2 linked regions of the Drosophila melanogaster genome follow. The protein of the gene in region 2 interacts with the protein of the main gene of each other region in a pairwise test. Each region holds a gene or a part of one and is shown on either strand. Other genes may lie near its edges.

Region 1 (3,755 bases), on a different chromosome or scaffold from region 2:
AAAATGGAAGCACTAAGATTTTGGAAGCACCCTCTTCGTATAACGACTGTGTCACGGCATAAAACCCCTCTTTGATCAGGGTATTTGTGGTAAATATTATTATAAAGATAAGATAAGTGCATTTCTAAACATAGATTATAAGACTTAATGCAGCGATAACATATACTTATGTATGTATGTATGTATATAAAGAGCGACCTCTTCGGTGCTCTCCTTCAACATTGTAAATAGACTACATTTCCGTAATTTAACTATTATTTTGACCACAAATGTGTGTGCGCGTTCTTCTATGCATACTTGGGCAGGGTCGGTGTTCGAGTTGGGGTCACACTACGCCCTCTCAAAATTAAAACAATAAATTATAAAAAATATACGCATATACACACAAGGAAGCAGGCATCAAAATATTCGCTTTTTCCATGGAGTCCGGACCCCAACACACATACACACTCACACCGATGCACAAAGAAACCGAGAGAGGGAGAGCAGAGAGCGGCACTGAGAGCACGTGAGAGGACCCACCTACTGTGCATACATGTGTCTGTTGGCAGCTCCTATTGTTGTTGCTATTGCGTAGTCATGACAGTCAACTTCATCGAATGCTCTTTTTCGCTTTTCTTAGTTTCGTTTTCTTTACACACATTGATTATATGAATATATGGATATGTATACCAACGAAACTCTTGTTGGCTAGCTGGTTTTTGGCAATTACGCTGCGCTGTGGCGTTTCAAAACACGATGATGGGGCTAAAAAAATGTGCCTTTGAGGTATAGACACTGGTTAATTTGCATTGACTGCTGCCACAACATAACTGCACTTTGCACTCACACACACACTAAGATATGTTTTTCAACGCAAAGCATTCGGGGCGGGGTTTTAATATTGCTATTGAGCTACAGGCAGAGTAATCCGAAATATTAAGAATAATAATACTACACACCAGACGCGGAGCTCCCGACTCGACGGCAGACAAAGACGCAGTGTGGTAAAATGTGCCCAGACCAGACGGGGCGCTCCTCTCTCTCACACTCTCTTTCTCTCTCTCGTTTCCGCTGCGAGTGTAGATATATGGATGGAAAATCGAAACTCTGTGGCTGTGGCCAGCCCCCGCGGCCCCCTTTTGCTATCTCGCTTGCTCGCATGGACAAAATCAACACAAGTTCACACACATACAGGCACACGGATGTGAACTCACAATGACAACCACTTCGTCACCAGCAGATAAAAAAGTGCTGGCCTTAAATCAATTGCGTTTTATGTAATTCCACTACATTCGTACGTTACGAAAACAAGCACTATTCATATTACACGGTATACATTATTACTTCCTATCGAGTCCAAATTGCTAGGCAGGAAAGGTCTTAAATTTTTACGCTTTATGGGAGTTTACCTTGGGTTCGACCTGACAAAGAGTGTGGCCGCGGCGAGACTGTGAGAAATTACCAAGTGGTGTCTGTTATCTTAATCCCAAATACTCTAGAAACATTTGTATACTAGAATTTGAGATTTAAGCATATTATAAAAGAAATTTATTTATATTTAACTAAAAATGCTTCTTAATATTCGCAAAACAGTTTTTTAATAGCAAAGTAAAGGAACTGGATTTTATTTTAATAAGTGTGTATTCTATTTTTTTGTCATATTTACACGTTCACAAACACGGCCACACTAATCTCCACTGAAAACGCTACTCGCATTTAACTCTAGTTGAGAAAAACAAGATTTATTAATAAAAACATTTTAGCTTGCACCTAAAAGAGTGTGCGGTACTATAAAACTAATCGTTTAACAAATCGGCAATACGAAAATGTAAGTATCTGCACCACATTTTGCTCCCTAAATGGTCTAAAACAGCTCGCTTTTCTCGACAAATAAAAAAAAACAGGGCGCGTGCCCAGAGTCTCGCCGGCGAGGGTGAGAAGGAAAAGGACAACAAGGAGAAGGTCGCCAAAGAGAAGGACGGCAAGGCGACCAGCGGCTCCTCGCGCAGGGACCGCGAACGCAAACGCCGCGGATCGGCGTCCTCCAGCAGCGACTCCAGAAGCAGGTAAATCAGCCGGCAAAGGTCTTTCCCACAAATGGCTGCCATCTGCCAACCGGAATAAGGGTTACTTTTAAAAGGAAGTCCTTCTTCTTCTGTAAAACGTAGCAGATAGTACGGGAAGAAAATAGCCTTCGAGCGAAAAGATTTTGTAAAAATTCACATACCATATATGGTAAAATTTCATCACAGTTAGGAAGTGTTTTACTTTGTACCAGCTTCATTGCCGTTTTCTTGGTTACGAGAAGTAAATAAAACACTTCACTTTTTCCAGCACATCGGACAGCAGCTCTTCGCGGAGCAGTTCCGGGTCATCGCGTTCCAGCTCAAGCAGCTCCAGCGACTCCTCGAGCTCCTCATCATCGTCGTCCAGCGATTCGGATCGCAGCGAGAAGAACCGAAGACGTGGCGGCGGCGCTGCTGGCAAAGACAAAGACAAGGATAAGCCCAGCGCCCGATCACGTTCCCGCTCTCGCACCCGTTCCCCCAGGCGTGTCTCCAAATCTCCAAGACCGGGCAGCAAGGCGCGAAAAGAGCCGGAGCGAGATCGCGATCGTCGTAGTCGGTCGAGGGATCGTGCCCGCCGTGCTGGATCCAACGATAGGGCAGCCGCCGATAGCAATAATGTTAAGCGGGAGCGTTCTCGCTCAGCCAGTCGTTCACGATCGCCACGCCGTCGTGGTCGCGGCTCCGTTGAGAGGACGCCGCCACCGAAGCGAAGGGAGCGCTCCCGTTCGCGGACTCGCTCGCCTTCGCCCAAACAGGTGCGCATTCATGTCGGTCGGCTTACCCGCAACGTTACCAAGGACCATGTGTTCGAGATATTTAGCAGCTTTGGGGATGTGAAGAATGTGGAGTTTCCCGTAGATCGTTTTCATCCTAACTTCGGACGCGGCGTGGCGTTTGTGGAATATGCCACACCCGAGGATTGTGAGTCGGCCATGAAGCATATGGATGGCGGGCAGATAGATGGCCAGGAGATTACGGTATCCCCGGTTGTCTTAGTAAAACAGAGGCCGCCCATGCGTCGTCCTTCGCCACCGATGCGCCGTCCGCAAAACAACCGCTGGCGATCCCCACCCCAGTTCAATAGGTTCAACAATCGTGGAGGAGGTGGTGGCGGCGGCGGCGGACGTCGTCAGTCACCCATGAGGAACCGGCGTTCACCACGGCGTCGCTCCCGCTCCCCCATTCGTCGTCGACGCCGCAGCAATAGCAGTGACAGCTCTCGTTAGAGGACACTGATCGACTCCTAGTTTCTACAATTGACACGATTATTGCACTTTTCTTTATATTATAATCCAAATAATAAAGGTGAGCAAATACCACACACATAGAGAGTTAGCTTAGTGTATAAACGAGCACTCAGCATCATCGAGAGGACATCCCAGCGGATGATGAAGCTTGAAAAAGCAGCTACGTTTCTTGATGGTCAAATGGGATTTGGGGAGAGTAGCCGTTGGTTTAGGGGTTCTTATTCCTATGAGATCACCACCGCAGAATTCGAAAACTTCGTGTTTATTGCGCAGCAATGTTTTGATGCCGCCGCACTCGGATTTAATGCCACTCAGCTCCTCCTTGGTGAGAGCCTGGGCAATCTCTCTCATGGGCAGACGACCAGACCATTTATCTTCGTTAGAGTCCAGAATCAGTTTGAAGATCTTAAACACTAGACCATCAATTATGGTCTTATCCACCTGCGTGCAATTTCGA
Region 2 (3,755 bases):
GGAATTGAATTCCCCGGAGCTGAAGTCGCTGTTCAGTTCCATTTCCTGGATTTGCACATTGCGCGAGAAGTTCGAAAACTGGCCACTTGACACGTTCTTCGGCGACTCCACCAAATAACGAGGTGGTGGAGATAGGGTTCCGGCCAGAGAACCGGTAGTGCTGCTAACCTCCTCGAAAGTGGGCTTGGCATTTTGCTCTTCGTCGGTGGTTTCCACGTGTATCTGGTGGATAATCACCTTGGAGGTGGGCTTCTGTGGAGGAGGCTGCTGGGAATAAGGATCTTCTGTTTGAAACTGAACTTTTATTGTTACTTCCTTTGGGGATTTCGGTGCAGTGTCATCATTTTGCTGTTGGGCGTTATTCAAAATGGGTTCCTCTTTCACATCATGATGCAGTTGCTGTGCGAGGCCCTCTTCTCTCTTCTTCGGATCTACAAGGATTTGTGGAACTGCAATATTTTGCTGATGCGCTTTAGTTGATTCCTGTAGGTGCTGTGCTTCATTTTGCTCCTGCTGCTGTGCATTTTGCTCAGTGTCTCTCTGTTTTTGATAACTTTGCACGGCAGCAACGTGTTGCTGATGTGCATTTTCCACAAATTCCATTGCCTTTTCGAGTTGCAACACATATTGCTCCGGTTCCTTTGAATCGTGTTGCTCTTGCTGTGGATTATTGTCAGTGGTCTCATCCTTTGAGTAGTCCACTTCATCATAAACTTGTTGATTCTCTTCAACTTCGACATGTTTCTGCTGTGCGTCCTCCGAAAGATGACTAGATTCAGGAAGTTCCTTTGGACTCGGTTCATTTTCCCGTTCTTCCTTAGTTTCAATCTCCTGCTGAGCTTCAGGTTTCTCCTTCTTTGAATCCTCGACCTCCATGTGCTGCTCCTTAGATTCCACGGCTTTGGGTGGCTCTGGAGATTGAGCTTTGCCATTGGCCGTGTCCTCTTCCCTCACAATTCGATGAACTATGACCTTGGCTTGCCGGGGGCTACCGGGTGGCCTTCTTATAATGGTGGGAGGTGGACGCACCTGCTCTTCAGATTTTCCATTAGACGCCTGCTTATCGGACTTTTCCTTGCGATGTTTTGAGTTTTTGGCACCCATTTCTGCGTCTGAATCTGCTTCTTTTTGGATGACTGTTGCTGGTTGCTCGAATATTTCTTCTTTTTTTTCGGTTTTCTCAAGAGTGTTCGTCACCTCTTCGCTGTTTTCCGTTGGCCCATTTGAAACGCTGCCAGAATTTCCATTATCATCTACGAAGGAAGAAGATTGCGCTACTGCGATCTGAGTTTGGAAATCCTGCTGCTCCTCCCGATCCTCCGCCCCTTCTGCCTGCTGCTGATGGTTTTCGTTTTGGTTTTGGCTCGGATTCTGATTTTGATTTTGGTTTCGATTGCGTTTGTTGCGATTGCGATTGCGATTACGATTGCGGTTATTGGGCATCGTCTACGGCACTTTCGCTCGATCTGAACTAATGCAGTTTTCCTTGTGTGTGAGATATATATGTGTTTTTGTGTGTAAGTGAGTACTTCGTGTTTCGTGTTTCTTAATCAGCCAGAATCTACAGTACAACTAAGTGTTGTTTCGTTTTTCGGTGTCGTTTATTTCTAGTTCCCTCTGTGTGTGTCACTCGTCGCCAGAAACTCAAACAGAACTGAACTGAGAACCAGAACCGAGAGCCGGCGGCATTCTGCTCGCGACGACAGCCGGCAAAATCGAAAAAAAAAAGAAAATAAAAAAATAAAACAGCGACGTCGCTGCCGCTGCCGGCGTCTACGCCGCCCCGCCCACCGCCCACCGCCTGGCACGCGTCCGAAATCGTTATGTTTTTAGGTTTATTTTTCGCCGCCGAGATCGCGCCTTTGTCTCCGATTGCCTCGATATTTTTTCGCCAAATTAAATTGCGTTTTGAATACTAAACTTTCGCTCTCGTTTTGGGGGTATGTTCGATTTGAGCAACGGGGACACGGGGTGAAAAGTTTTTTAAATATTTTTTAAGATCGCGCTTCCCGTTCCTCGTGGCGCTGGCGACCGACGGACAAGGAATGGGCCGTGGGCTTTCCACGATCTCAGCCGGGAGCTAGCTCCCCAGTCTCCCACTCACACACATTTTTACAGACAGCCCGATTCGGATGCACAGTGGCAAGTATTTGAAAATATACACACAAAAAGGAAAATCGGGGAATTCATAACGATGCTCATGTTCACAATACATACATGTACGTAGAAAACAGAAAGTCGTACGGGAGAGCGGGAGAGAAATGTGCAAAACCAAAACAGAATCAGAATCAGAATGCAGGGTATTCCAAAGACATCAAAATACCAAAGAGACCGAAAAAAAAAACAACAATATGACTTCTAGGTCAATGCAATTTTCACAAGCCAAACAAACTCATAAAATCCGAGATGAGCAGAAAAGAAACGCACGGCTCGAAAATATATTCGGCACATTCATAAATATTAGAAAATGTTTTTGGAACACGTACATAATTTGTTTGTGGAATTTAAGCTAACGAATATATGCTTTCGAAAATAAATTTTTTTAAATGTCACAAACACATTTTTGTCTTGAATTTCGGTTGATAAATGCTCAGGAATGAAAGATGTAAGACATTAAGAGAAAATAAAGAATTTAGAGGTCAAATGAAATCAGATAAACCGTTTTCCAACCACTTAAATTGTTTAATTTTTTAAGTGGTTGATCTAAAAAACTTTCGTGCAATATACCCAAAATGGCTCAATGCAGGGCATTAAGAAGAGAACTCAATACGGAAATAGTTTGCCACAGTTCGAGTTTGCTTATATGTATCTTCTGGCCGATGTGTGTGCTTGTGTATCTGATGAGTCTGCGCTGGCTGTGTATCTATATACAACTTATGGCATTTTAAAGATATTTTTCGTGCGTAATTTCTTTGCTTTTTGTGGTCACAAGTCTCTGTTTTCGGTGTACTCTTGAATAATTGAAGCAACATATATCCACGCGCATATATGTATGTATAGCTCTCCCATGTATCATCCCAGTGGGCCATGCGGTTAGTAGTATTCCGCTTTTATTTTTAAAGGTACTTAATGGCTTTCAATTTCTCTTGTTCTGTCTGGCCCACAGCCCCATCATCTCCATTAACTTCCTCCGACCAGAACCAATCCGAACTGAAGTATCTTCGCGGGTCTGTCAGGTGCCAGACGAACCAGACACGTGATGTGGTGGTTTTGGCCCGGGCATTATGCAATTTCTGCACAGTGTGACAGACACGGGTATACCAATTAGGGAATACTAAACGATCGCTTTCCCCTCCTCAGAAACCCACTCACTTAATGTGTATTCTCAATTGGTTTCGGTTTCCGTTTGGATTTCGTTTGGGCCCCACCAAGTTGCCTGAATCACTGACGTACGACGAACATCCAAGTAGCCGCTATCTATATCTGTGGATCCATTGTAGCGGCTTCTATTTTCAGTTTTCTTGCCCCGTAATATCAACAAATTTGAAATTGATTTCTACGCCTCGCCCAATTTGCTGTAGAACAGCACACATTTTAGTTATCTTTTCTGGGCTATCGCTGATAAATTTTGCATTTTTGATAAAGAACGTGAGTTGTGTGCGAAAAGTTTTGCTTTCAATGAAAGTGGTTTTTGTGGAATCAAATGCAGCTAGCAAGATAACTTCTTGGGAAATTACTAAAGATTGAACTGTGATATCTAAAGATGGATAGAGGGGTCATCAAAAGAAGCCTTTCATGAAGATTTGATTCGACAA

Evidence for each region.
Region 1: the proteins of CAP (region 2) and RnpS1 interact in a two-hybrid assay, tested with the Drosophila melanogaster proteins (one large-scale study listed by BioGRID).

The regions. Positions count from the first base shown.
Region 1 is NT_033777.3:9,550,375-9,554,129, forward strand, and holds RnpS1 (RNA-binding protein S1), read left to right. Parts: upstream 1-1,659; 5' UTR 1,660-1,808; coding exon 1,809-1,810; intron 1,811-1,886; coding exon 1,887-2,048; intron 2,049-2,316; coding exon 2,317-3,277; 3' UTR 3,278-3,373; downstream 3,374-3,755. Other genes in the region: CG9386 (uncharacterized protein), read right to left, coding at 3,389-3,755.
Region 2 is NT_033778.4:10,277,029-10,280,783, reverse strand, and holds the start of CAP (CAP), read right to left. Parts: upstream 2,049-3,755; 5' UTR 1,444-2,048; coding exon 1-1,443.